Arabidopsis thaliana: one gene and its partners. The protein of the gene in region 1 purifies or fractionates together with the protein of each later gene. This does not show direct contact. Each region holds a gene or a part of one and is shown in the gene's direction. Other genes may lie near its edges. The genes, in order: CDC25, DRH1 and AT1G42440.

The links.
Region 2: the proteins of CDC25 (region 1) and DRH1 purify together in Arabidopsis thaliana (affinity purification with mass spectrometry, with the first as the bait; one large-scale study listed by BioGRID). This does not show direct contact.
Region 3: the proteins of CDC25 (region 1) and AT1G42440 purify together in Arabidopsis thaliana (affinity purification with mass spectrometry, with the first as the bait; one large-scale study listed by BioGRID). This does not show direct contact.

Annotation. Positions count from the first base shown.
Region 1 is NC_003076.8:858,418-866,456, forward strand, and holds CDC25 (Rhodanese/Cell cycle control phosphatase superfamily protein), read left to right. Parts: upstream 1-4,138; 5' UTR 4,139-4,174; coding exon 4,175-4,305; intron 4,306-4,711; coding exon 4,712-4,850; coding exon of another isoform or gene 4,851-4,907; exon of another isoform or gene 4,908-5,152; intron 5,153-5,361; coding exon 5,362-5,532; 3' UTR 5,533-5,759; downstream 5,760-8,039. Other genes in the region: AT5G03450 (Transducin/WD40 repeat-like superfamily protein), read right to left, coding at 537-1,044, 1,140-1,576, 1,669-1,779, 1,900-1,958, 2,046-2,124, 2,387-2,467, 2,716-2,760, 2,850-2,939 and 2 more; AT5G03460 (uncharacterized protein), read left to right, coding at 5,974-5,976, 6,086-6,163, 6,673-6,774, 7,006-7,092. UniProt on the Arabidopsis thaliana protein: Tyrosine protein phosphatase that dephosphorylates CDK complex and activate its kinase activity in vitro. Arsenate reductase that plays a major role in the reduction of arsenate to arsenite and arsenic retention in roots.
Region 2 is NC_003074.8:210,475-221,307, reverse strand, and holds DRH1 (DEAD box RNA helicase 1), read left to right. Parts: upstream 1-4,636; 5' UTR 4,637-4,834; intron 4,835-5,154; 5' UTR 5,155-5,165; coding exon 5,166-5,453; intron 5,454-5,534; coding exon 5,535-5,693; intron 5,694-5,838; coding exon 5,839-5,907; intron 5,908-6,518; coding exon 6,519-6,788; intron 6,789-6,887; coding exon 6,888-7,238; intron 7,239-7,314; coding exon 7,315-7,592; intron 7,593-7,688; coding exon 7,689-7,997; intron 7,998-8,095; coding exon 8,096-8,231; 3' UTR 8,232-8,445; exon of another isoform or gene 8,446-8,637; intron 8,638-8,784; 3' UTR 8,785-8,790; downstream 8,791-10,833. Other genes in the region: AT3G01560 (proline-rich receptor-like kinase, putative (DUF1421)), read right to left, coding at 1-545, 714-995, 1,116-1,424; PPT2 (phosphoenolpyruvate (pep)/phosphate translocator 2), read left to right, coding at 2,452-2,748, 2,860-2,982, 3,051-3,203, 3,312-3,397, 3,499-3,580, 3,668-3,787, 3,872-3,949, 4,057-4,186 and 1 more; MYB57 (myb domain protein 57), read left to right, coding at 10,157-10,328, 10,415-10,544, 10,638-10,833. UniProt on the Arabidopsis thaliana protein: ATP-dependent RNA helicase involved nonsense-mediated mRNA decay and ribosome biogenesis through rRNA processing.
Region 3 is NC_003070.9:15,892,867-15,904,054, reverse strand, and holds AT1G42440 (pre-rRNA-processing TSR1-like protein), read left to right. Parts: upstream 1-3,949; 5' UTR 3,950-4,115; coding exon 4,116-4,206; intron 4,207-4,281; coding exon 4,282-4,436; intron 4,437-4,506; coding exon 4,507-4,638; intron 4,639-4,716; coding exon 4,717-4,767; intron 4,768-4,859; coding exon 4,860-5,000; intron 5,001-5,099; coding exon 5,100-5,222; intron 5,223-5,323; coding exon 5,324-5,401; intron 5,402-5,508; coding exon 5,509-5,601; intron 5,602-5,681; coding exon 5,682-5,804; intron 5,805-6,057; coding exon 6,058-6,141; intron 6,142-6,237; coding exon 6,238-6,336; intron 6,337-6,469; coding exon 6,470-6,661; intron 6,662-6,780; coding exon 6,781-6,856; intron 6,857-7,030; coding exon 7,031-7,134; intron 7,135-7,220; coding exon 7,221-7,483; intron 7,484-7,563; coding exon 7,564-7,650; intron 7,651-7,733; coding exon 7,734-7,964; intron 7,965-8,096; coding exon 8,097-8,175; intron 8,176-8,265; coding exon 8,266-8,329; intron 8,330-8,411; and 3 more. Other genes in the region: AT1G42430 (inactive purple acid phosphatase-like protein), read right to left, coding at 9,733-9,889, 9,975-10,049, 10,151-10,190, 10,308-10,429, 10,593-10,718, 10,834-10,911, 11,017-11,098.

The DNA of each region.
Region 1 (8,039 bases):
AATCAATGTCTTCTTTTCTAATTCCCTTTTCTTTATCCTTCTTATAATCAGGACTTGATTAGATTCTCCAACAAGTTATTAACGTATATAATAAACTATTATCAGTAGCTTAACAAAACCGACCTTAGCTCAGTTGGTAGAGCGGAAGACTGTAGTAGTAGCTGTAATCTTTAGGTCGCTGGTTCGATTCCGGCAGGTCGGATTTTTTTCATCTATTTGGAAAATTCTGTCAATTTTTTTGTGCGTCATATAAATACGTCTCTTTTTCCATGCTTTTTCATTCTCATTTACAGATTTACTTAATCCACCAGTGATAAAGAAAAAAAAACTGATTTAAGTAATACGTATATACAAAAAAGGAGCAGGCTGCATTGCAGCAATAGGTTCATAACTAAGATAATAATATTTAAGTAATGGCTCGCTACTCTATAGCATCTCCAGATTACAAAAGATAGATAGACTAGTTAGCCGCTTTACATACATGTTTTCTCTTCAACAAACACCATCCTTGCAAGACTATCAATCTTTTTTAATCTTCATGGAGATTCGTTCCTAAGAATCTGCAATCTATCATCCGTTAAGAGACCGAGCAGATCCGAACCATTGACGTGACAGTATTTCACATCTTGAAGCGGAAGATGACTTGACAATGGCAACCGTTGAGAAATAGTAAAAGTCGAAGGATCTTGCAAGATGAGCTCCCGAGTGGACTCGTCACAAGATGCAAAAAGTTGTTTCCTTTCCCCACCAAAGTCTATAATCGCTGTTCTTGGCAAACGGATGGGATCTACAATAGCTTGTGTGGAGGATAGTTTCTGGTAATACGAATCAACACCTCTTCTCTTGTGACAAACATGAAATCCATCTACACCATTACTATTACTATTACTGACTCCTGTTTGAGTCAATGAGGGCTGAGTCGGGACTGTATCATCAGATGATCCAACTCTTGGTCTATAAGAAGCTACTATATGATTGCTGCGGGGACAGTACGAGGAGGATATGCATACACCTGGGTTTCCCGTTTCCGAAACTAATGATGGGCTAGACAAAGGAAAAAAAAACCGAAATTATAACATGTTAGAGCCTCAAAAATGCAATGATAAAATTCTTCAACTTCTGTGATGTGTGACCTCTACCTTCCCTCGCTACCACTAATGTTCCACTGACACAGCCCGATGGAAGAAGCAGATAAGAGGGTACGGACATCAGAAGTTGGAGTGGAATTGCCAGAGAGATGATGGACAGTATGAACTGGATTGGTTGTTAAGCCTGTCATCGATGCGAAAGGTCCCGTGGTTTGACGCATGTCAAATATCAAAACCATTCCATTTTGTAGTCCAGCATAAATATGGTGAGAGCTTTTGAGATCCCACGAGCAAGACCAAGGTGCAGCCGGTAGATCATAAGATAAGACAGTATTGTGGCTCTCCAAGCTTATAACAGATAATTTTTTTCCTAGAGACCCAAATACTGCAAGCCCATTATTGTGAGGGGAAAGGTGAAGATCTTTAATTGCTCTAGTGGTACGAGGCAACAAAATATCATCAATCTCACAAGGCGAATGTAGGCTCATCTGCAATATATTAAAAAAAAAGGTCGTATAGTGCATCATTTTACTGGTATAAGATAAAAAAGAAAAATGAGAGGCAAAACAAAAAAGCTTACTTGCGTAAGCACAAACGTTCCACCAACGCCTGAGAGCCTACGGGCATATAATAATATTTGTCTACCACCATCTATGTCAAATATACGGCCACCGTTTATTAGCAGATCTCCCTACGAAAAATGGATGGTAACGAACTTTATAATTTGCATAATACACATCAACACAATTGCAAAACAAACAATACTTCAACTAAACCAAAACAATGTGTCTGAAGGAGCACTAAGCCACACCTGATGTCTGAAGCTGCAAGAAGGTGACTGTCCATGATGCTCTTGGTAGATATTATGAGCTGCAGGCGTGCACTTACAACTATTTAGACGCAGAGAATTTCAAGAGGAAGAAAACAAAAAAAAGGGGCATGTTATTGTGTGATTACCAGGTATATATTTCTCCTGAGAAGCCACATTAGACTGGCTTTGCGAACCCTTAGTCGTACTTTCCATATTAGCTATTTTCTGCAAAAACAAAAATTCTAGCCATGACGCTAACTAGAGAAACATGTGCGACAATTTTATGAGAAAAAAAAACAAAAATAAATATAATCTTAGGTTGGGAGGGAAATTATAATGGGAACTCTTAGTCAAACTGAGCTCCCTTTTAAGAGTAACGAACCAACTTAATATTCCAGACTCGACTAGTTACTAGTAATCTTAATCTGTCCAAGCACAAAACAAAGTGACAAGAGTGACCACGTTACAACAAACTCTTAGAGTGTACCTTCTTCAGCTTAGTAACTTCTAATCGTAGCTCAGCTTCAGTTATTTTCCATTGAACTTCTTTGTTACTCCAACTCGCAGTCTGCATGACAAATAAGAACATATTAAAAGCTACAATACTAGTACGACGGGCTACACACATATGTTCCTGTCATCTAACACAGACATAACCTACATAGACGACTTATATAATGAACACATAAAGAGGTTTTAGTACTGAGGAAAATCTTATTGCGAATGATTTGAAAGCATTTCAAATAACGAAGCCCAAAATAATGCGGACTAATACTAGCAATATCATGAACTATCTGAGCAGTAAATTTATCCTACCTTCTGTTCAATTGACCTTAACTTGGCCTCCAGAAATAAGATTCTCTGCAAATATCAACAAAAGAATATCAGATTTTGATACTATGATTTGCTTTTACGAATGTATTTCGGAAAAACAACACTCATTGTAAGACCTTGTGTGCTTCATCATCTACTGCAGCAACCCGTGATGCATAGATTTTCCGGACATCTCTCAAGCTACATATTTTGTTGCACAGGGGACACTACAAAAGAAGCCAATGTGATTCGATGAGCAAGATAACTATATCCACTAACAGCAAAGGGATTTGAACAACTTCATAACAACCACAAACCTTCCCTCCACTTCGTCGCTGCTGAAACCACTTGTTGATGCAGGAATATCCATACAAGTGTCCACAGGGAAGACAACTTGTACCATCACACCAGATTAAAAAAGAAAAGAGAACATTAGTTGCACTCAAAATATTAGACGTGACCAGAGTAATCAAATAGTTAAAAGAGATACTAATCACAATCCAGTTCGAAAGTTTTGTATGACAAAAACCTAATCAACTAAGAACTATATAATTGCCAGTAGCAAATTACTGTCATAATTCATCAAAATTGATAGACCTAGATCATGAGATTATCAAATTGCTAAAACAAAACATAATCTATACACTATAGCCTCTAAAGAGCCAACGAATTCCAAAGCTAAATTACTGGAATCGAGAATACCAGACTTGGTGTTGGCCACCGCTGGTCCAAACTTCCATACAGATAGAACAAGACAATCCCTCAGTGTCACCTTGTTTCCATTCGACATCCTCCTGCGATCCGGAAGACGATGAACAAACACCTTGTGACCTATTCTGATTCTCTATCCCTTCACTCTCGTTCTGTGAAACCCTAACAGGTGAGTCTAGGACATCGATGTATTCCCTGGTTTGGCGTTCGGAATCTTCTTCCTCCTCTTCCTCCTCGTCTTCCTCTTGTACTTCACCATAGTCGACATATGCTTCCTCTTCGTCTTCCTCTTCTTCGTCTTCTTCTTCTCCATAGTGTCCAAATGCTTCCCCAAATTCAATGAATCGTGCAATTGTACCTCCGTGACCACTGAAGGGGTAACTCCGGCGAGGCGGCATTAGGTTCGTTTCTGTTACTGTATCAGATTTCGGAAGAGAAGAAGGCCAAAACGTCTCGGCAGAGTCGCAGAGGTATCGAATAAGAGAGACTCCCGGAATTAATAAAAATAATATTTAAAAGTAAAAAAAAATAGTTAAAAGATAAAATATTATAACAATGCGGTGAGCGTGGATCGAACACGCGACCTTCAGATCTTCAGTCTGACGCTCTCCCAACTGAGCTATCCCCGCTTGTTGTTATCATTTAATATTTAAACTTTAATAATCTCTAAACGTAAGCGTCACGTCAAATTGGTCGCAGTCTTCAATGAAATGTTCGTGACTTTTAGGGAAGAAAAGGTGTTTGGAGAGATATGGGGAGAAGCATATTTTCCTTTTTCACTAAGAAGAAAAAAATGGCGATGGCGAGAAGCATCTCTTACATCACCTCTACTCAGCTTCTCCCTCTTCATCGTCGTCCCAACATCGCCATCATCGATGTCAGGTATAACATAATCGATTTATTTCCGTCGATTTTAGTCACTAATCTGATCCTTTACCAAATTTTAGTTCGAATCAATCCCGATTATTGTTCTTAGGTTTGATTTTGCTCTACTATGTAATACTGATATGCGTTTTAAGAGATTACTTTACTTTTGAACTCTGGGGATCAATTAATTATGAACATGTTTTCTAAAACTGGATATTTTGTAGAATCTCTGTCGAAAAACAACTATTAGGGACCTCATGAGCTTGGAACAAAGGTTTTGTGGTTAGATGGGCTGAGAAAGAAACAGACTTTTTGTAATACTTATATAGGTTCTTCTGATACATAGTTATGGCTTAAACAAATTTAGACTTTTTATGAACCTATTGTATAGCTCACATTGGAGGAATTGTATGTTTTTAAGGGATGAAGAGAGGAATTATGACGGGCATATAGCTGGATCGCTACACTATGCGAGTGGCTCGTTTGATGACAAGATCTCACATCTTGTTCAAAATGTCAAGGACAAAGACACACTTGTCTTCCATTGTGCCTTGAGCCAGGTGTGTGTTTTACACTCTTTTCACTTCCCCATAAGATCTTCTTTTCCTCTTTTTTGAGAAACAACACATAGGTTAGATAAGCGGCATCAATTGGCTATTCGTAGAAGGAGATGTACATCTCTATGTTATACATAGTTGATTCATGTTTCATAGGTTAGATAAGTGGCATCAATTGGGTTTTCTTAGAAGATTTATATCTCTTATGGTCTACAATAGGTCCTTCATGTGTCAAAAAGTGGATTCGAGGTCGCAAAATCCAAGTGTTTTCCGATAAGTTTGCCTACTAGTCCATATATTCTTATGTATGTCATGGAGTAGGAACTTATTTTATATTCTTAAAAGAAAGAACAAAGAACAACGATTAGCTTAGCTCCCCAAATCATCAAGCTCAGTCTTTTAGCAACCTTTGATTTGAGGCAGTTCTCATTTCTTTGTTCCTAACATAAATCAGTACTTCGTTGCACTCAACATGAAGTGATTGCTAAAGCCTTGAAACCAATTCTTCCTGCAGGTTCGTGGCCCTACTTGTGCGAGAAGGCTCGTGAATTATCTTGATGAGAAGAAAGAAGATACTGGAATCAAAAACATCATGATCTTGGAACGCGGCTTTAACGGTTGGGAAGCTTCTGGAAAACCGGTCTGCCGCTGTGCAGAGGTTCCTTGCAAGGGCGATTGCGCCTAAACCCTACTAAACCATATTGGGACCTAATTGATGTTCCACATTGTCATGTACTAAAGTTGAATGAAGATTATCATAAATAATCTCTTATCAGTATGTTTGGTTTACATGGAGCACAAACACCAAACTTGCAACAACAATACTAAAAGGGCTTTTATGGTATTGCACGTTTGTGGAGCGTCAAAGCCACGTTGATATCTTAACGCCGTCAAAATAATAATGGATTTTTCGGTATCTTCTCTGGAAGAGGCACGTTACTTTATTAACGCCGTCAAAACTCTCTCGCTGATACAGAGTGTTTGCTTTCTTTTGTAGATTTTTAAAGTCATAAAGCAAAAGCAACGACGACTTCAGAGAACTACAATCATAATTTGTGATCTCTCTCCAATTTTCATCTTTTGGTCGAAATTCCCAATTCCCTGAGTCAAGAACCCTAATTTCAACATGGTAAGATTTGTTCGATATCGCTTGTTTTTTTTTTTATGGATCTAGCTTCCGTTTGTCTATCTTGCGGCTTCCATTTCAGATTGTTTGAAGAAATTCCTGAATTTTGTAGGTTTGCGTTATGTGTTTGGTGCCTCTGTTCCTCGTCCCGCTCATCAATTTAATGCCTCGAATCATCGATTATTTCATGGTAATTGACTCGTGCTTTCTTAATATTCCTTGAAGTTTTGATTTTTCCTTGGAATTTTGATGGGAAGAATGATCAGATTTCATGGGAAATTAAATGTCAGGATCCAAATTTCGAATTTTAGGGTTCTAAAGAGTGTGGAATTCGTTTAGTCTCAAAGGAGATATCTTTATTTGAAAGAAATAACAAAATTAGAGATTAGAAAGGGAAGAAGATAGTGAAGATGATAATCAGGATAAGCGAGAGAGCACATGATCATAATCTTTGCTTGTAAAAGTGAAAAACGAAGAGCTATATAGCTTTTGTTATTTGCTTGAGGTTGGCTCTTGGAAAGTTGAACATGTTAGCAATGTTTAGATCTTAGTTCTGTTGGTGTTTCATATCGATTTCTTTAGACTGTATCTTTTTTAAGTGAAAAAAAAAACAGTGCTTTAGTGAATCTTGCAGGTAGTATTTACTTGTGAACATTTGTTAACTCAAGTACTGTCTGTTCATGCTAAAAAATAAACTAGGCTAAATTGTACGCGTGGCTCGGATGGGAGTACAGGAAGCCAGCGAGAGTTCCTCCAGCTTGTCCTTTCAAGCCAGTTGCTAAAAACGACAACGCCACCAAAGTAAGTGAAAGGACTTTACTCATTTTTTATTCTTGGTTGAGTCGTTTCTTAGTTGAAGCAGTTTAGTTGATGGAAACATAGATTCTATCCTCCAATTGGTGTTATATGTTTATACTTCAATTCAACAATATGCCATGATCCCAGTAGCTTCCGAGAACTGACATTCACTGTTTATCTGATTTCTGAGTTTTTGTCTTTTGAGCCTTATGTGTAACACTTTGTCTGTTTTAGGTGGGTGCGGAAACTGGAACTGAAGGTACAGAAACAATAGCTAAACCTGGCGTTGTAGAGGAGACGGGTGGTATTAAGCAGGATTGAGGCCGAGTCTTTTCTTCAATAAAACCTTTTGTATTTGTGGATATGTTTTGGATAAGAGAAGAAGCTGGAAGTTGAAATTACCTGATGTGATACTGATAATGAATGATGTACGTTGAAAATGCTACGTAACAGATAATTTTCTTATATGTTTACTTCTCTCTCTCTCTCTCTTTTTGTCTAGAATCTTTTTGCATGTGGGAGATTTCGAATTTCTCAGTAAAACTCGGATCACTCTCTGCTAGTTCTTGAGCTTAATGCGTTATATGTTGTCTCGTAAAGTCTAAGTTGCATTATTAGTTTTATGGTAAGTTTAGTTTTAGAAACACTTAAATTTAGATTTAACCACCTAAACTTTTTCAAGCAAAGCCAAAATCATTGTCTTCTTGTTAGTTGCTATAATATCCCTTCGTTTTCTTCAAAGGTTGTTATTATCCATAGTGAAGAGTTTGGAACAAGAAATTTTTAAAGATTTTGTCTATTGCGACTACTCGATATTTGATTTCATCATCAAACATTCAAAATCTAGTGATGACCACTTGTCATTATTTTGTATTGTCATGTTAAATCTTAAATGGAGAGTTGAAATTCATGTCTTTTAATTTTATTTTTTAAGCATAACGTAATGTTTTATAATTAAAAAAAAAAACGAAGTAAGCATCTCGTTTTGCATAATTATAGTCATTATTATTCATATATGAATGGACCAAATTGTTAAAGTTGCGAGCACTTCACTCACAAGCCACGTGCACTAAGCCATCACACTTACGCTAGCGTTTAGGATAAAATCATAAAAATGTTTTACCAAAAATCAAAATAATTTTTAAAAACACTTTAATAAATATCTTCGTGTCTTTGGTTCTGATTTGAAAAGACAATAAAGAGAGAGATTTTGAATAACAGAAGAAATTTAATATCGTTACCTTTAATTTTATATTTTCTGTTTCCAT
Region 2 (10,833 bases), on another chromosome or scaffold:
TCGTACATTGATGGTTGTGGTTGAGGAGGGTTGTAGAACTGTTGAGAAGGGGTAGAACCAGCAGGTGGCTGTTGACGAGGAGGGTTTGGCGGGTAAGATTGCATCTGATATGGTGGTTGTTCTTCGGGGTTGTAGCCTGATGATGGTGGTGGCTGTTGGGGGTACTGTGGCTGCTGAGGCGGTGACTGGTAAGATGGTTGATGCGGCGTTTGGGTCTGAGGAGCTTGGTAAGGAGGCGGGTTTGATGGAGGTGGTTGAGGATGACTAGGCGGAGGACAATACGGCTCTTGTTGAGAAGAAAACTGCGTAGGTAGCTGAGGTGGTAGTTGCGAGGAAGGTGGCTGGGAAGGAGCAGCAGTGGAAGATGGTGGCTGTGGGAAAGAAGTAAGAGGAAACTGCTGCATAGGGACTGGAGCGGGCGATTGAGCAGTGGGATCAACGTGTAAAGAGTGTGTTTTGGCATGCTGGTTGGATACCTGATGCTTTGAAAGCTGAGCTTCGAGAATCTCTTGTTTGTCCTTCAATAGTTGCACACCACTCTGCACCTGCACACCATTCGCATAAAGAAGGAACTGAAGTATCAACAGAAAGTACTATAAGCCTGGTTCAAGAAAAGACATGTTCATAAATGAGAAAATTTCTGTATAAAAAAGATCAATAGTTGCCAGGAAAAGCTATAAATTCTAGTTTCGAAAAGCAATCAGCAAAGTTACCTCTACAAGGATATTTTTAAGCTGTCTCATTTTCCCATCAGTGCTGCCGTGACTATTGTCAACAGAAACTTTGAGATCATCCACCAGGTTCTCGAGGTTGTGGGTTCTGGTCTCCAGCTGTGAAAGACGTGCACTAACACCTTCCATTACATGAAGCAAGGTATCGGTATGTTTCTTCATTGTCCTATCTATAATCTCGGACATAATAGTCGTGTTAAACACATTTTGACCCTTGTCAGGAACCAACTTGGAAGGTTCAATAGAATCGAGAGATCCAAAATTCTGGCCGAATAAAAAAAAACAAATCAATCAGAAATAGACAAGTCCTCTTATAGGCTTATGATGTAGAATCATGTACAAAAAAAAAAAAGAGAGGAAGATTCGAGAAGTAGTAGTAAGTACAGTGTTAGGCGAAGTAGTGGAAACGGGTTTATAATCAGAGGCGGACCAATTAACCCTAGTCGTGGATCCGGCGAGATCTAAAGCCGAGTGAGACAATCGTGCGGCGGTGGTGGGACGTATGGGATGGAAATCATAGCTAGGAACGATCACTTCTTTCTTAGAGTCCAATCCATTATCGCCGATCACCTGCTTCTTCTGGTGATCATCGCCGTCATGATTGTTCATCAGATCGATGAAATCAGTGGAAGGTAGAGATGAAGAAGAAGATAGATCCATTATCTGCTTATCCATAAACTGACAAGTATTCATCGATCCACCCGACAATTTCTCCGACTCCCGAATTTCTTCTTTTCTTTCTAAAACCCCTCAGATCGATTTTTATTTTTTTATTTTTATTTTATTTATGTCATAAAATTGACCAAGTTGCTCATGTCGACGTACCTTCTGATTGGCGTAGAAGGTTATGGACCCTAAATGGGCCGAAATGTATTTAGAATTCAGTTTCCATCCTCTCCGTTTAAAGCCCAAATTGTGATCAATGACCTGTACCAACACTGACATAATAAGTAAATGGTATAATCAATAATGTGATCAAAGCAATGGGACCAACCTTATTTGTAATAGTATGAAATAACACGGAAAGAAAAGGGTGGACTCAGGAGCATACAATACAACATCCACATGTTTCAACGCGGCCCCTTTCATATCATCCATACAATTCTCCCCTGACATTTTCAAATTCCACACTAAAAATCAATTGGTGTTGTGGTCAGTAATTTGTCATGTTCGTACGTAAACTTTATTTTAAATAATTATTTATAGCGTTACCAACTTTTTGATATTATTATAAACGAAGAAAACCACGGCCCCTTTGTAAAGAAATGAGTGACCAAGTATGTCAAATCATTTCCATAACATTATTTACAGAACACACATGGAATGGAGAACATGAGAAGAAACAATACCGGCAAATACCACTGGCTCTTATGAGGAAAGATAAATAAAATCGAGCCAATGTTATATTGAAAAAAATGTCGGCATCGGCATGTGAGTTATTTTTATCATACTCAAAAACATTCAGATAGTAGAACGAGAGAAAAGTCACATAATAAAGACAACTCTTCTAAATAATACTAATATCAAGTTTGCAGTATATCCAAAAACAAAACAAACTTTTTTCTTCTTACATGAAAATGAGGAGGTAGACTCATGTAACATAACTCTTACCAATAGAGGAAGAAGAAAAAGTTAGCAAGAGTCGGTTACTTGTGAGAAATTCCAACAAATGCCGGAGGATTTATGCACATCTTGGAGCATCTGATAAGAGGAAAAAATTATGTTCGCTCTCACATTTCTAAATCCAAATCCAAGACTTCCATCTCCATTGTTCCTTGCCAAGTCTACTCCTGAATCAGCGTTGAGCAGAAGAAGCAGAGCTTTTTCATCTTCTAACTCTTATCCTTGGAGACCGAACCTTAGATTTAATGGCTTCAAGCTCAAGTCAGCTACAGTTCCGGAGAATGTGGAAGGAGGAGATTTGGAATCTGGAAGTTTGGTTAAAGGGTTGAAGCTAGGAGGCATGTTTGGAGTTTGGTACCTTCTCAATATCTACTACAACATTTTCAACAAACAGGTTCCTTCTTTGCTTCATTTAATTAAACAGTCCATTTCAATGCAAGAAGCAGTACTCGAACCTATTATCAGTCTTCATACAAGTATGAAACTTGTTCATTCATCGATCCAGGTACTTAGGGTTTATCCATATCCAGCGACTGTAACAGCATTTCAATTAGGGTGTGGAACGTTGATGATTGCTATAATGTGGCTCCTTAAACTCCATCCACGCCCCAAATTTTCTCCTTCTCAGGTAAATCAAATATTGATTCCGTCAAACCCTAAAAACAGAGAGATTCATTCAATTGTAATCCTCTCCAGTTTACGGTGATCGTACAACTAGCAGTAGCTCACACGTTAGGGAACTTGTTAACAAATGTGAGCTTAGGAAGAGTAAATGTCTCTTTCACCCACACTATCAAAGCAATGGAGCCTTTCTTCACCGTCTTGCTTTCTGTTCTCTTGCTCGGTGAGGTAAGCAAAACAAAGATACGCTCTGTTTCAGACTTAATCTATAACCTTAGATTATACAAGAGAGTTATATTTTCAGACATAATCTTTGAAATTTTGATTAATGTCCAGTGGCCGAGTCTGTGGATTGTTTGTTCGTTGTTACCTATTGTCGCTGGAGTCTCTTTAGCATCTTTCACAGAAGCTTCTTTCAATTGGTATGAACAACAAGAACAAGAACAAAAAAAATAGTATTCTTGATAAACTTTTGATGAAGTTTTAATTGATTTGATTAATTCATGGTATTGGGATAAACCAGGATTGGTTTCTGCAGTGCAATGGCTTCTAATGTGACGAATCAATCACGCAATGTCCTCAGTAAAAAATTCATGGTTGGAAAGGTAAAAGAGTTTGAATATAAGTTATCCTTATGATCTCAAGAAAGAAACTAGTAATCGAAATCTATTAATGTTTGTATATTGAAACAGGACGCTTTGGACAACATCAACCTTTTCTCTATAATAACCATTATCTCCTTTATCTTACTGGTTCCTTTAGCAATCCTCATCGATGGGTTCAAGGTTACTCCTTCGCATTTACAAGTAGCAGTAAGTGGAAAAGCATAAACCGATATAGCTAGATGATCTAAAAGAGAAAGAACTAATGTGTGTTTGTATGTGGTTGCTTGACAGACAAGCCAGGGTTTGTCGGTAAAAGAGTTTTGCATCATGTCTCTACTTGCTGGTGTTTGCTTGCATAGCTACCAACAGGTTGGTCCGTCTAGTTCCTCCGTTTCAGAAAAACTGTACTGAATTTTGTAAAGTCGGTTAGTGTTAGGCTTCTAATCAACACATAAAAATTGGGGTTGTTGTTGTAGGTATCGTATATGATATTGGAGATGGTGTCTCCAGTAACACACTCTGTAGGGAACTGCGTGAAGCGTGTGGTGGTTATTACATCATCCATTCTTTTCTTCAAAACTCCAGTCTCACCTCTTAACTCTATAGGTAAACAACTACTAGTAGTATATATTAGTAAAGGATTTGTTACACTTGTTCATTTTATTGAAGCAATATATAATCACTTGTTAAATAAACAGGTACCGCGACTGCACTAGCTGGAGTATATTTGTACAGCAGAGCCAAACGAGTCCAAGTCAAACCAAATCCAAAAATGTCTTGAATTTTGTATATAGAAGCTCTTAGTTTATTATTTATGCGAAAAATGTTGATATTTTTGTTCATCCATGTCGTTTTTACATGACACTATTAACTTTTGTTAAATTCAACTAATCTCATTAAATAATTCTATTCTTTACATGGAAATTATATAATGGGCCTAGGAATAAAATTGGAGTGGCCCAAAAGGGCCCAAAAGAAGGAGGCGGCTCATTAAGGTGCAGATATTTTTGTTGCGACGATGGATGGTTTTATAAACCTAACTAACAGAGACGGTCTAAAGTTGGACATCCTTGCTTTTGGTCTAACTTTCTCTCTCTTGCTTCTACGCTTCTTCTTGTGGCGTAGATTGTTATAGAGAGGGAAACCAAAAAAGGGAATCTCAAAAGCTCGAGTTCACAGATTTGACCCGAGTCTTTAATCCAATCTGCTGGTTCGTTTTCCACATTCAAACTCGACTCTTGAATATCAAATCAGGTACGCGTTTATCTGTTGACAAAATTCCTCAATCCTGACTTAGATTCCTAGAATTTGGTATTTAAGCTCTCTGTTTCAATTTCTAGTTTCTCTCTAAGATTGCGTCGGTTTGGTCGTGTTTAATTCTGATTTCTGATCGAATCCTTTTATTACGTGTTAGTTTTTTTTTTTATTGTTCGATTTGAATCCAGATCTGTGACTCGATTGCAGTTGGATGCTTTTCTCATTTATGGTTGAATTAATTGAAACCTAAGTCGAGTTTGGTGATGATTTCTGTGGATTACCGATTTGGTTTACTGAATCGCTTTGACATGTTGCAGAAGTCTTTGCTATGGCTGCTACCGCTGCTGCTTCTGTTGTCCGTTACGCACCTGAGGATCATACTCTTCCCAAGCCCTGGAAAGGCCTTATCGATGATAGAACTGGTTACTTGTACTTTTGGAATCCTGAGACCAATGTTACTCAGTACGAGAAACCAACCCCCTCTCTACCTCCTAAGTTTTCTCCCGCCGTTTCTGTTAGCTCTTCCGTTCAGGTTCAACAAACTGATGCCTATGCTCCTCCCAAGGATGACGATAAGTACTCCAGAGGCTCTGAACGTGTGTCCAGGTTTTCTGAGGTACTACATCTGGTTGCTGTTAACGATATTTTATACATTATTTCTCTGTTCATCTGTTTACTTTTTCTCAATTTGCTATAGGGTGGCAGGAGTGGACCGCCTTATTCGAACGGTGCTGCTAATGGAGTTGGGGATTCTGCTTATGGTGCAGCATCTACCAGAGTTCCTCTTCCTTCATCAGCTCCAGCAAGTGAACTATCCCCTGAGGCCTATTCCCGCCGTCATGAAATTACTGTCAGTGTAAGTATCTAAGACCTTCCTGTAACAATCACCCTCGTTTTTATGGTAGACCCCTATGTTCCTCTCTTTTATCGTTGTTTTATTTGAGCTTTTTTATTTTCTTAGATTACTGAAGTTTACTGATATTTCTTTCCCATTTCTTCAGGGGGGCCAAGTACCACCACCTCTAATGTCCTTTGAAGCTACTGGTTTTCCACCTGAGCTTCTGCGGGAGGTATGATTGGTTAATAGTAAACTGAAATGACTTAGGAACCCCTCAAACCTGATAATTGTTCTACCAATAAGCGGAATCTATAACCTTATAATTGTTCTACCAATAAGCGGAATCTGTATTGAGTGTTTTTGCTAAAGTCTGATTTATTAACATAGCTTTGTTTTTCCAGTCTCAGACTTTTCTGTCACTTAGCTAAAATCGACTTAGGTATAACATTTAGAGTCAAAGTTTTATGCCATACGCACCCTTTTCTCTTTTTTTCCCAGGTGCGATGTTTGCTCCTGGGAGGAGCCAATGTCGTACACTGTGCCACTTCTTTGAGGTCCTTGCAAATTATTTGGAGTGCCCTATATGGTGGACCAAATTTTTTGGAAAGGGCTTCCCAAATCATCCAAGCTTGTGGCAGGGCCTGTTAATGGTGTGATGATTCATTTCACCACCGGGTCCAGACAGAAGAAGAGGCGTCCTCCTGCTGCAGGTTTCATCAGTAACCTTTTGCCACCTGCAAATGGGGGATGGTGCTTCTTCTGACATGAGCCACCATTCCATAAGCCCAAAAGAACCTTGGTGTTCCCCTTCTCATAGGACAGTGTGGTTTTCTGTTTTCTTAGGTACTCAGTGCAGGTTTCTCTGCTCCAACTCCAATTCAAGCTCAGTCATGGCCCATTGCTATGCAAGGTAGGGACATAGTAGCCATTGCTAAAACTGGCTCGGGAAAAACTTTGGGTTACTTGATTCCTGGATTTTTGCATCTTCAACGTATCCGAAATGATTCGCGAATGGGCCCAACAATCTTGGTATTGTCTCCAACGAGAGAGCTGGCCACACAAATCCAAGAAGAAGCTGTTAAATTTGGGAGGTCATCAAGAATTTCGTGTACGGTATGTAGAAGTCTCTGAACTTGTAAAGTTTCAACATGCTACTTGTGAAGTATATGTCTAACGTATGCCAAATGTGTGGTCTTATTATCTCTGTTTCAGTGTTTGTATGGTGGTGCACCAAAGGGCCCTCAGTTGAGGGATTTAGAAAGAGGAGCAGATATCGTGGTTGCAACTCCTGGGAGATTGAATGATATCCTTGAAATGAGGAGGATTAGTCTGCGTCAGATATCTTATCTTGTGCTAGATGAGGCAGATAGAATGTTGGACATGGGTTTTGAACCTCAGATAAGGAAGATTGTGAAAGAAATTCCCACTAAGCGTCAAACCCTTATGTACACAGCTACATGGCCAAAGGGAGTTAGGAAAATTGCAGCTGACTTGCTTGTTAACCCTGCTCAAGTCAACATTGGCAATGTTGACGAGCTTGTGGCTAACAAGTCAATCACACAGGTATTGCTTGAACTGATTCTATTGGTTCTGCTGACTGTTTCAGGAGAATCTGATTGTTGTGCTTTTTTGGAAACAGCATATTGAAGTGGTAGCACCAATGGAGAAACAGAGGAGGTTAGAGCAGATCTTGCGGTCTCAGGAACCAGGCTCAAAGGTGATAATATTCTGCTCAACCAAAAGGATGTGTGATCAACTAACACGCAATCTAACCCGCCAATTTGGAGCTGCTGCTATACATGGAGACAAGTCCCAGCCTGAGAGAGACAATGTTCTTAATCAATTCCGCAGTGGCAGAACTCCGGTTCTTGTAGCAACCGATGTTGCTGCTCGTGGTCTGGACGTTAAGGACATCAGGTATTTATATAATCCAAATCCTCCCAGTCCTGTAAAACAAATGATTAAATTATGTGACTTGATGATTATATTAGCTAATACGATTTGAGATCACAGGGCGGTCGTAAACTATGATTTCCCCAATGGAGTGGAAGACTATGTTCATAGAATCGGAAGAACAGGAAGAGCTGGAGCGACTGGTCAGGCATTCACATTCTTTGGTGATCAAGATTCGAAACATGCTTCGGATCTGATCAAGATTTTGGAAGGAGCAAACCAGCGAGTTCCTCCTCAGATCCGCGAAATGGCTACACGTGGTGGTGGGGGAATGAACAAATTCAGTCGTTGGGGACCTCCTTCCGGCGGCCGTGGTCGTGGTGGCGACTCTGGTTATGGTGGCAGAGGTAGCTTTGCTTCCCGTGACAGGTAAAATTAACATAGGACCTCATCTTCGTAAATTTATCTCTGTATGCCACTGAAAATATGATTGTGAGTTTGAGATTGTATAAATTTTTGATGTAAAGTAGAAGCAGCAATGGATGGGGAAGAGAGCGAGAAAGGAGCCGTAGCCCTGAGAGATTCAACAGAGCTCCACCACCGTCTTCCACCGGATCTCCTCCTCGCAGCTTCCACGAGACGATGATGATGAAACACAGATGAAAAGAGAGATACAAAGCTCTGATAAAGCCAAGTGACAGAAGATTGTGTTGTGGGGGATTTCCCTTATCATTGTGACATTATATATTTTTTGGCCGATGAAGAAACAAAAGAAAAAAAAACAAGACCAAGAAGACTGTTCCCTCCCATTGGAAATTTACGCTCAAAACTACAATTGATATCTTACAGTTTGTATTTCATCTTATTTATTATTGCAGCTCAGAGATTGGTAAGAATGTTTCATTAGATACGAACGACTTTCTTCTAATACTGTGGGATTCTCTAGCATTTAAATTACAAATCAAAGTGGTAATATTATGATTTCGGTTTAGTATTGTTAGATTTGGTTTAGTGTAGTTCGATTTGATAAACTGATTCTACCCAATCGAAATAATCAAATTAAAAACCCAAGTAATATCTTAATCCAAATACGAGCTGAACAAAATCACAACTATCTAAAAGCATTAAAAAAAAAAAAAAAACTTGGATTATTTATGTGTATTTCATTTTCAAAAGTGTCATATTATAAAAATTAAGAAATAAAAATGAACATTAGAAAAAGAAGTTTGGTGAGTCTATGGCTTAGATGAAAGTGTATGTCTTGTGTACTTTGATGATAATATAATTGAGGACAGCCTATTAATCTCCAAATAGACTCTTGTTTTTTGTGGTTACAAATTAATTTTCCTTTTACAACTAAACGAATCATGAACTCCTACAATCTAAAATCAAAGCTCACACTACATGTTCACACATGGCTTATCTTCACTATCAATATTAATCTTTCATTGATTGTTAGGAGATTACTCTTTTAGGAGTTTATCCTTAATAAATCATCATCAACCAAAGTACAAACTAACATTATAAAATCATTATACATAGAATGACAGTTCAAGGTTTTTTTTTACGAATTATAGTAAACCAACTATTATTTAGTTTTAAACTTCAGTTAGTGTATGTGTTGGTTAAATCATCAAACTCAAAATATACGATAAGTAGTTGGTTAAATTATTCTTGAAAAAGAATATTAATAACCCAATTTTTATACTCTCTTACAATAATTTAATTGAATTGTAAGCTGACACATCATTTAGATTTCCAGCCACAAAACCTCACTTACTAAATTTGGCATATGAATTACACCAAACCTTCTCAATTAATTGCCCAAAAGCAAACGCTATTACAACTTTCATTTCATTTTCTCTATCTATACTACTTATATTTTCTTTGTATAAAATGTAAACTCGTTAACACACACAAACAAAAAAAGATAACGTTGAAAAAAATAAAACACATATTTCAGACTGTAGTTTAGATGTGGTAAAATATAGCAAGAATATAAAAATATCAATATAAGTTTCAAAATTTAGAGAAGAAAGAACTTCATTGATTGTGAGTTCTAAATAAATAATGGTTAGTATATATTAGTGATAGAGGGTTAGGAAGAAGTCGTTATATACATAAACTCAGTGTAATGTTTCTGTCAAGCTTTGCTTTGATTTAAGATTGTACTTTCTTCCTTCTCACTGTTTACAATTCGTGTGGTCGTGAACTAATCACGCCAAGTTCTCTCGTTTAATTATTAATTTGATGTTTAGTTTTTCTTGGCAACTTTAGAGTTATATATATGATTAAGTTTTGTAATCAAATACTTCATATTTTCATTGATTTTGCATATTAATGCATATGTTTTCATAAAAAAAGAAAAACGAGTGTAAAGTTATTGATAGTTTCTGTTACTTATTAATTTTTAAGGTTATGTGTATTATTACCAATTGGAGGACTATATAGTCGCAAGTCTCAACCCTATAAAAGAAAACATTCGTCGATCATCTTCCCGCCTCGAGTATCTCTCTCTCTCTCTCTCTTCTCTGTTTTCTTTATTGATTGCATAGACAAAAATACACACATACACAACAGAAAGAAAGATGGAGACGACGATGAAGAAGAAAGGGAGAGTGAAAGCGACAATAACGTCACAGAAAGAAGAAGAAGGAACAGTGAGAAAAGGACCTTGGACTATGGAAGAAGATTTCATCCTCTTTAATTACATCCTTAATCATGGTGAAGGTCTTTGGAACTCTGTCGCCAAAGCCTCTGGTATGCTTTTTTGCACGTATTCAAATCATGTTTTGATGATGTTTTCTATGTATATAACTAAATTTTGTTTTTATTTTGTTAATAAGGTCTAAAACGTACTGGAAAAAGTTGTCGGCTCCGGTGGCTGAACTATCTCCGACCAGATGTGCGGCGAGGGAACATAACCGAAGAAGAACAGCTTTTGATCATTCAGCTTCATGCTAAGCTTGGAAACAGGTCTTATATAGTTTCACTAATTAGTACATGCATACGTAAATCAAATCTTAAACCTAATTTTATGTTGCTAAGTAATATTATAATATGCATTAGGTGGTCGAAGATTGCGAAGCATCTTCCGGGAAGAACGGACAACGAGATAAAGAACTTCTGGAGGACAAAGATTCAGAGACACATGAAAGTGTCATCGGAAAATATGATGAATCATCAACATCATTGTTCGGGAAACTCACAGAGCTCGGGGATGACGACGCAAGGCAGCTCCGGCAAAGCCATAGACACGGCTGAG
Region 3 (11,188 bases), on another chromosome or scaffold:
TTGGATCTCTATTATGGTATACATATTTTTGAAAAAATACAATCTTAACATCAAAGATAAATAGTATAGTTAGGAAAACTGAAAACCATAACTTTCAAGAAAATTTTAAATTAGCACTTGGTTTAAACCAATTTTAGTTGAGGTTAACTAATTTACTTTGACCTTATTTGTTAGACATACCCAATATCGATCATCAATATACTGTGGATCATATACATGTATCGGCACAATATAGAAGAATGAACATGCGAATTTTTTTTTTATTTTTTCTTTTTCTTATAATAATATTTTATCTAAACTTTTGTTTTCTACTTTTTACTTTTAACATGGATATATATTTTTTACAGTTCTAGTACACTAAGTGTAGGGTTAACAAAATAATATTCACTACAAAAAAGTGATGGATTACATCAATTAACTAGAATCAGAAGTATAAATGATACTAGTTTAAATTACTTATAAGCAAATGACACAAATAAATAATTCAACATCAATTCTAATAAGTGATTTGTTAATTAGTTTGTTTAGTGTCAATTTAATCAAATTGATACAAATTTGTATTAGTTTGCATCACTTCAGAAAATGGATACAAAAATATGTATTTACATCAATTAAGATAACCGATGTATTCCCTTATTTTTATTAACATCATTTTTAAAAATGATACAAAATATAGATCAATAGAAAGTGATGCTAAGAACTTAAATTGTATCATAAAATTAAGTGATATTATTTTAAATCACTTATGCATAAATGAGACAAATATTGATGATTTAGAATCAGTTATAATAGCTGATGTTTTAATTAAATAGTTTAGCATCAATTTGATAAATTGATAGAAATATATATATTGATTTTGATTTGGATCATTTTAAGATGTTGATACAAACCTATATATTTACATCAATAGATAATCGTTGTATTTATTAATTTATTATTAGCATCACTTATAAAACGATACAAATTAAAATATCAATTAAATAAATGATGCAAAATTAGTATCAATAATAAAATGATGCTAATTAACTTACATATAATCAAAATAAAAAAACACGTAGTCCATTTTATGTCACTCAATCTTAACTGATCTTAATCTTTTTTTCCAAATTTTATCTTAATCTATGTGAATTGTTTTTAAAACTGTTGTATTTTAAAATTAGCATGTTTTGAAAGTTGCACAAATATTTTTTTTCTAAAACAATATACGTTAAAAAAAAACCAATATATCACAAATCTCATCCATAATTTTTTTTTCTGTTTGTTTATTATATTCACAAACGTAGATATATTGTTTTGGAATCAAGATTGTGTTCTATATTTTAAATTGCTAAAAATCTGTTTTCTCTTTTCTTATTCTCTAAATTCTCATTTTAATTGTTTTTTCGATTATGTATAAAAAACTGTTTTGTTAAAAATCGAAAATTCATTTTCACTACCCCAACCAACCCACGATCTCTCCGTATCTACTCAAATAAAACTTGTAGTATTCCCAAAATTATTGTATATAAAATCAGAAGTTCCATAAAACTCTTCCTTAAAAATTCTCCAGAAACATCAATTTTCACATAATTCTTAAAAGGATGCCAACCATACAACTCCGATGAATATGAGTTATACGTGTACTTCTCCAACACAAAATCATATTGATCCTTATATGTTCATCTTCTAAACCTTTCCAAGACGACGAAGAATTGTTTTTCTGTTCTTATTTTTATTATTTTGTATTTCTCATTTTCTCACCCATGACTCTGATTTTCTATTTATTGGTTTTCATACTCAGAAAATCTCCACAGTGAAGAAACAATGTCACCAAAACAATGGAAAAGAAAAAGCTTGGACAAGAAACAAGATGTGTGTTCTTGAAGAAATCATACCTAGATCTTGAACTAATTAAGTTCATATCACTTTCTTTTTTTTTTTTGTATGTGTAAAATCTCTAATGAATTTATTAACTGCGTTAAATTTATGTTTTTGTCTTTTGTAATTGACGTTCTGGTATAATTATTTGTAAAAAAAAAATAGAAAAGATTTAGTAGATATTGAAAACGATTTTCCTATATAAAATTATTTAAAAACGAAACAAAAATATTTAAGATAATAATTCTGTTATAAATTTTGTAGTTTCTTTTAACCATCGTTTATTGAAAAATATTTAACACAAATATTAACATCAATTACTATTAAGTGATGTAAATAATTGAAATCAATTCTCTTAATTGACACTAATACTAACATCACTTAAATAAATAGATGTAAAATTTAACATTATTTTTTTCAATTGACACATATTCATATCAGTTAGAATAATTGATGTAAATATTTTATATCTTAACATCGGTCATTAATTAACTGATGTCAATTATTTGCATCAACAATATATAAGTCATTTATTTAAGTGATGTAAAATTCTTTTACATCAATTATAAGTAATACAAATATTCAAAATAAATGATATAAAATGACCCTTTTTTGTAGTGATTGCACAATGTTTTATAGAAAGATGAATATACATATATCAGTTTATTGTTTTTGGATCTAGAACTTTTTTTTCTTCAGTCTCAAATATTATATGTGACTCCTTTTAGAATGGCACACATTATAAATTAAGAAAAAGGTATTGGCTTTAAAAACTTGTACTAACATATGCTAAAACAACAGTATAAACCTCTTTTTGTAAAACAAATAACACACAAATATCTATATATATTAATAAATCATCAAGCTTTTCACGACCCACTCAAAGTAATCATGATCACTCATACTCATCTGATCTTTATCATTCCAACACCACGCCACCGTTTTACCAAAACTAAACAACTAAAAGAGCATCTGGTTCCGATTTCTCATAATTAAGAAGGAGAAAAAATGCTACATGTCAATTCCCATCTTTACAATAATAAATTCGTGAAAGTTAATGTGATGGACAGACAGTTTAGTGTACGGGTACATGTCAATTGTTGGGAATTTAACTTACAAAATATAAAAAGAGAAAAGCTAGCTCTAATATATGCGATGGGGGGACTCATTAAAAGAGATTCGTTTTAGAGTTAGCCCTAAAACTTAATTCTGCGCTTTTGACATCACATTCAATCCCGTTGTTGTTGTTTTTGTATGTGACACATATCAATTGATTGATAACACGTGTCACGATTGTGAGCCAAATTTGATATAATAATATGAATTTATAAATTTTTTTCCTTTTTTACCTTTCCAACCTAATTTTAGTCCTAATTTTTGTAATTTTTCAAAATTTTCATTCATTCAAATCATTTATTTTCTATTAAAATTTTGTTTTTATTTTTTGGTATAGAAAATGACTTTTAAAGTTAAAACAAAAACCTCAAAAAAACAAAAAACAAAAAAAAACTTTGTAAACTTTCAAATTTTTCATTCATCATATCATTTGTTTTTCCACTAAAATTTCTGTTTTTCTTTGTCTTTGTATACGAAAATGACTTTTAAGGTTAAATTAAAAAACCTTAAAAAAACCAAAAAAAAACAAAAAAAAACAAAAAAAAACTCTTTAAAATTAGGTAAAAGTTGAAAAAAGACAAAACGTTATATTGCCGAAAAAAGGAATATTAATAATTAAGGCCCTAAGAACATCCTTATTGGTAAGTTCTTAAATTAGTTCTTATGATAAGAACATCTCATTTTAACTCTTATATAAGAGACAAAATGACATTTATATAAAAGACAAAAAAAAATCCCAAGAACTAATCTAAGAACTTACCAATAATGATGCTTTAAGCATGCAAATGATATCATTTTAAGCACAAATAGTAATTTATATTGGGCTGATAGGCCCATAAACTGCATTTTATTGGTAAAGTTTTAGGCCCCAAGCATGTGTAGCAAAATATCATTTTAAGTCACAAATACTCATTCATATTGGGCTAATGGGCCCATAAACTTCATTTTTATTTGTGAAGTTAGGCCCACATATTTTGTAATTCTTCGTCTTCTTCCACTTTTGTCTTTGAGCCGTCGAACAAAAACAAGTAGTCTGAAGACAAACTACACAAAACCCTTGAGGAAATAAAACTGCAAAATTGAAATTAGGGTTTATACTTTAAAGCAGTCACCAAATCCAGCCACCATCTCTTGCTGAAGCCATGGGACGCTCTCGAGTTCAAGTTAACAAAGCTCACAAGACTCGTTTCTCCTCTAAATCTTCTCGTAATCTCCATAGAACCAACCTTCAAGGTAAACCCCCTAAATCCTCAACAATTCATCTCTTTCAATCTCCACATACTGAAAATCGCGTTTGAATGGAATCAGATAGTGGCCGGATTGGGAAATCGGATAGTAACTATGTTAAAGGAGCTAAAGCTGCTCGTGTTCAACGTGGTAAGATGCTTAGAGAGCAGAAGAGAGCAGCAGTTTTGAAGGAGAAGAGAGCATCAGGAGGAATTAACAGTGCTCCTCGTGTTATCGTGAGTTTTTACATGTTTGTGTGTTTGTTTGTTGCAATGTTCCACTTATGATATTTTCTAATGATGATAGGTTTTGTTTCCTCTCTCTGCTTCTGTGGAATTGAATTCACTTGGTGAAGATGTTTTGAAGTTGTTATCTTCTGATGGTTCTGGAATTGCTTCTTCGACAGTTGCATCTTCTGAGTATAAGCTACGAGCAACTGTATGTGTATTCCTAAGATTTGTTTATATAGATATATGAATATTTGTGTGATCAATGTTGTGACTATATATATTACAGGTGTTAAAGGCGCCTCATGGGGATCTTCTGACATGTATGGAAATGGCCAAGGTATGTGAATTGTCTTGTATTCGTTTGTTGGTTCTTTCAGTGAGCAGAGTTTGTTATAGGTGTTTACTGATTTTTTTTGGTACTGGTATTAGGTTGCTGATTTGATGGCTTTTGTTGCATCTGCAAGTGCTCCGTGGGAAGAGAATAGCTCTAACTTCATAGATTCTTTCGGAAGTCAGTGTCTTTCTGTGTTTAGATCAATTGGTCTACCAAGCACTACTGTGTTGATCCGTGTAAGTTCTTTCTGCTCTATATTAGTAGCGACCAGGTTTCTGATTTCTTGAAATTTTGCTTGAAGTTGAGCTTAACAAGTTCGTTTTGTATGATTGCAGGATTTGCCCAGTGATGTGAAAAAGAAAAATGAGATGAAAAAGATGTGTGCCTCTCAACTTGCTTCTGAATTTCCTGAGGATTGTAAGTTTTATCCAGCAGATACCAGAGATGAGTTGCATAAGGTAAATGTTTATGACTGATAATTTTTTATATTATTTTACTGAGTGGTTTTCAATAGTTTTAATGTTCTTAATTAGTAGAACATTTCTGGGCTTGTTTGCAGTTTATGTGGTTATTCAAGGCGCAAAGGCTTACTGTGCCTCACTGGCGAAGTCAACGATCATACATTGTGGCTCGCAAGGTGTGTGATTTATGCTTATATAAGTTCATTACATTTAATCTGACTCTGAGAAGAAAAGGGTTTTATAGAAAGTAGAATATCTCTGTAATGTTGAATGGTGCATTTAGGCTGGGATGCTGGTGGATGATGAAAGCTCAGGAAAGTGCACTCTACTTCTCTCTGGTTACTTGCGTGCTCGCAAACTGTCTGTAAATCAACTGGTAATCAAGCCATTCTGCTATCTATATCATGCCTTGTGCTATACCCATGGATCCCTTGTTAATTTATTTTCTCAAATTAGGTCCATGTTTCTGGCGTTGGGGATTTTCAATTCTCCAAAATTGAAGTGCTGAAGGATCCATTTCCTTTGAATGAAAGGAAAAATCAGAATTCCATGGAATTAGATGATTCACATGATGAAGAGGTATATTATATATAATATTTTCTTTACAAATCAACAAACTATTACTTTAGAAAAGATACATTAAGTTGAATCCTTCAGATATAGTTATAGGAAAAGAGGTTATATAGTTTGTTGGAATGCTGTCATAATATCATTTTACACTTAATTTCATTCTTAAAATAGGATGTTATTTTGCTTTCATAATGCTATTTTCACAGCTTTCTTCTCTTTGTAAATTCACTTTATTTTTTGTACCTGTGTTTGATTTGACCAGGTATTGAAGTCTCTGGTTCCTGATCCCATGAAACAAGAGCCTTTAGTAATTGAAAACACTCCAGATCCTTTAGCAGGGGAACAGGTAAGTCTGATTAGTTCTCTAAAAAATGAAGGTGGCAGTTGGCTCGTGTTGTTATCTGTTCTGGGAAGTCACTTGTGCAATTCTTCCTTTGTGTAGACATGGCCAACAGAGGAAGAAATGGCTGAGGCTGACAAAAATCAGAAGCAGGGCAGGCTAAAGAAGAAGACTTTGCCGCGAGGGACTTCAGAATATCAGGTTCCTGGATTATTTTTAACCTGATGTTTCTAGCCTCATTTTAACTATTCTTCTGTCTTGTGCAATTTTCCTCAAAAATAAATGTTATAAGCGGGTGGCCCTCTTATTTTGGGTTTTATGATTTGTTTTACAGGCTGCTTGGATTGTGGATGAAACAGATGAAGAGGATTCCGATAATGGTGATTCTGATGATAATGGTATGGTATTGGATAGAGGAGAGGATTCCAATCAAGAAGGAATGTATGACCAAGAATTTGAGGATGACGGAAAATCATTGAACCTGCGGGATATTGATACTGAAACTCAGAATGAATCCGAAATGGTGGTATACATTTCTGTCCACCTACTTTTATGACTTACAAAACAGTACTTGTAGCTTCATTGCATTTTTTGTTCTCGTCGACTATCTTGGTAATGTTATAAGCCAACTTGCTCATTGTTCAGGACGATGAAGACTTGACAGAAGAACAAATTAAGGATGAAATCAAGAAAATCAAAGAGGCATATGCTGATGACGAAGGTTGGTGTTTATTTCCTCTGTGTGGAGTTATGTTCTGTATGAGTCATTGTGTGTCTGTGTGTATAAATGCAAATATTCATTTGAGTCCTTGTAGAGTTTCTGTATCTCTCATGTGCTAATTGATTTTGTCTTTTCTGTTTTTACTCATTAAAATTTTCTTTTATGTTTTGTCAGAATTTCCAGATGAAGTAGAGACTCCCATTGATGTTCCTGCAAGAAGACGTTTTGCAAAGTACAGGGGTCTTAAATCCTTCAGAACCTCCTCGTGGGATCCAAATGTAATAACACTGATCTTGATGTGAATTTCATTATATTTTTCACAGTTAAGTGTTGCTAATTTTTTATAATTTATTGGCAAATGCAGGAGTCTTTACCTCAGGACTATGCTAGAATTTTTGCTTTTGATAATGTCGCAAGGACTCAAAAGCTTGTGCTCAAGCAAGCCCTGAAGATGGAAGAAGAAGACAGAGATGATTGTGTACCAATTGGGTCATATGTACGGCTGCATATTAAAGAAGTGCCTCTTGGTGCTGCCTCTAAACTATCTTCTCTTGTGAACACAACGAAACCAATTATAGGATTTGGGCTTCTGCAGCATGAATCCAAGATGTCGGTTCTGCATTTTAGGTAATCACTCTTAAGATATCTGTTTGTTGAGACCTTGAGTGCTCTGCCCTCTTCTCATCACCTTTGTCTATGTTTTGCAGCGTAAAGAAGTATGATGGTTACGAAGCTCCTATTAAAACAAAAGAAGAGCTAATGTTCCATGTTGGTTTCCGTCAATTCATTGCAAGGTAGCAAATTTTTTCTGCTTTATCTACTTTAGTAGGTTTTCTTGTTTGCGATCTTTTGTAATTTTTGTCGTGGGAATTTCCAGGCCGGTATTTGCGACCGACAATTTCAGCTCAGACAAGCACAAGATGGAGAGATTCCTGCATCCAGGGTGTTTCTCGTTGGCTTCAATATACGGCCCCATATCTTTCCCACCCCTTCCTTTGGTAGTTCTGAAGATTTCTGAAGGGTCGGATCCTCCTGCCATTGCTGCCCTTGGTTCCTTGAAAAGCGTAGAACCCAACAAAATAATCTTAAAGAAGATAATATTAACTGGGTAATGACCTCATTCCAAATACAATCACATATTCCAGTTTGGATAGATACTAATGCTCTGACATTTGAACTGGGGAGATAAAAAACATAATCTGTAGTAATTCTAAGCTGTTTGAAATGTGGTTTGGTTCAGGTACCCTCAGAGAGTATCGAAAATGAAAGCTTCAGTCAGATATATGTTCCACAACCCCGAAGACGTGAAATGGTTCAAGGTAAAAGAGAAAAATAGAATCGATGGATTGAATAATATACGTATTAATTTTTATGTTAAGCTAAAGCTGGCACAATGTTTGTGTGTGCAGCCTGTTGAAGTATGGTCAAAATGCGGGCGTCGTGGTCGCGTGAAGGAACCAGTAGGCACACATGGTAAGGCATTAGTATTAATAGAAGAGATTGCCAAGCTAGAGTTTTGTTTCTGGAATTTTCCTTATACATGTGAGCTGTGCAGGGGCAATGAAATGCATATTCAATGGAGTGGTTCAACAACATGACGTAGTGTGCATGAACTTGTACAAGCGCGCTTATCCCAAGTGGCCTGAACGTCTGTACCCACAGCTTCTCTGATTCGAATTTTTTAAATGAAGATGATGATGTTCAAGTTTCTCTGAATTGACGACATTCTTCTTTGGTAATTTATGGTGGTGGTTTAGTGGAAGTCCTCCAGTTTTGTCCTGTATGTGATAAAAATATGCAAATTTTCTTCTTTATTGCTCACTATACATATACATTTGGAATATGGGGTTGAACCATTGATAAGCTTAATTGTTATGAGAAAAATACTTAAATAGATTGAGCTTGTTCTTATTAAAGACATTGCTTGCTTGCTCACAATAAGCTACCTATATTTGATTAATCTGCCTCATATATGGGAATATCGTCTTTTTCATAGCCCGACATATAAGCTGTGTTGAATTCATACAAGTATCTAATTTTTATTTTTTTTGGTCAACTAAAAAAGTATCGTACAAGTATCTATTAAATGTACTAAAACAAACTCTCACTTTCATAAAATTCAAATTGCAAACCTGAAATATACAAACTAAAATATATAAAAAACGTGGAAAATGCTTAACATTGTTAACCCACCGTCAATTCATGTTGACATGGATTGTGACGTGCCCAAAGACTCCAAAACGACGTCGTTTGGAGTGAAATGAGATGCCAAATTTTCCGCATAAACGACGTCGTTTCCGCATAAATAGATTGCTGATTGTTTTTAGGCTTGTTTTAGATTTTAGGTTCTTTGTTGGGTTTAAGGTACTTGGTGATTGTTTTTAGGCTTGTTTTGCATCGGATGGTTTATGCGGAAAATTTGGCATCTCATTTCACTCCGAATGACGTCGTTTTGGAGTCTCTGGCCACGTAACAATCCACGTCAACATGAATTGACGGTGAGTTAACAGTGTCAAGCATTTTCCACATTTTTTTTTTATATTTTAGCACAATTTGTATATTTAAATTTGAATTTTTATATCATACAAGTTTGAAATTTGAATTTTATGAAAGTGAGGATATGTTTTAGTACATTTTAATAGATACTTATATGAATTCAACACAGCTTGTATGTCGGGGTTGAAAAAGCTGATTTTCCTCATATATGGACATGAGAGGACTAATACTTGAGCAAGAGATTCGAAGAGATGGACGTTGGATCAAATGGATCAAGAATTATATCATCTCACCCATAATTCACAACATTCTAAATTTATCGAAAAAATGATAAAGCAAAAAGGCTATTACGCTAATAAGCTAAACAAACAGATGTGATGTCATTGTGGTTGGTCAGGGGGTAGGTCAGGCTCAGGAGGTGGAGATGGCCCAAACTCGAGGTTTGGGTAGACACCCGGAGGTCTCTCTCGTGGTTGGATCGAAAGCAACTGTGTTGAATCACCTACCACATCTGCCCACCCATAATGTGGCTCAGCCCTTCACCAAAACATGATATCAAGGATAGATTAATAAACCACAAAGGTTAGATTATATGTTAAGATGTAAGCTCTTTCTCTCTTACTCATAGTATGTTTCTTCATCCACCACTATGTCCCAGCTTTCTCCTGTGGTACTCTTTCCGTACTTGTGAACCTTTCTGCGATCAACGATCTAATATTAGACCTCCATTTACACTAAATGCAGTGCAAAGACAGACAAACAAACATCTGAGGCTTCCAAGTAAACAAAGTTCCTTACCCGTTTCCAAAGTGTTCCTCTCCCCACGTTCTTGACCAACCTGAAAACGTGAGGTTATCGGGTTAGGCGAGATTACAAACATAGTCAAACAAAGGAATTTAAAGAAGAAGAAGAAGAAGAAGAAGAAGAAGAAGAAGAAGAAGAAGAAGGAACTGACGGTCGCTGTTAGGTGATACATGCCATGTCTCCCCCTGACGTGAACCAATCCCACTGAAAAATTTCTCTTCCCACTTGTCTCCCCATTTGGTCCCCAACTCTGTCTCAGCCCACTTGTCTGTCCTGTGGATTGTTCACCAACAACTAAATCAAAATCATTAACACAATCTTTTTGATCTCAAGAATTTCACAAATTAATGTTCAAGTAACTCTGGCTAACAAGGAGCCTTATATATAAACCAGTAAGGAAAAAATTGAGGACTAGAGAGTAGTTAGAATAGAAAACCATTTGAGAACAGATCCTCTTCCATCATAATGCTCCCCCCACTTCTCCCACCATGACTGCTCATTAAGTCTACCATACTTATGTGCTCCTTTCTCTGTCCACCCTTTAGCATCGTACTTCTCCCACCTGATTTTCAGTGAATGATAGTTTTAGTCCAGTAGAAGAATAAGCTTCTCCTTTACATCAAACAAAAGCAAACACTGCAGGGTAATATTAGCAACTGGTGTTGTTATTGACCTACCATTTCTCGTACCAACCAGCATTTTCAGTTCCTGATTTTGCTTGCTTTTGTGCACTCCTTTCAATCCTTGCTAGATTACTGAAATTTGATCAAGTTGACAATGAGAGGACTGTAAGAATCTAGCAGCGCGAAAACTGTTGGCAACGAAGCTATATCTGGTAAAGGGAATGTTATAACATAGACCTCCACTCATCTTGATGAAGGACTTCTTGCCAAGTTTCCCACCAAGAGTCACCCTCAGAATTTTTACCAGATTTCTCCACACCTACAAAAAGTACACTCCACTGAAATGAGAATTCGTAAACAAAAAAAAAACAGAACTTTGACACACTCATTAATCATCAGTAACAAGGGA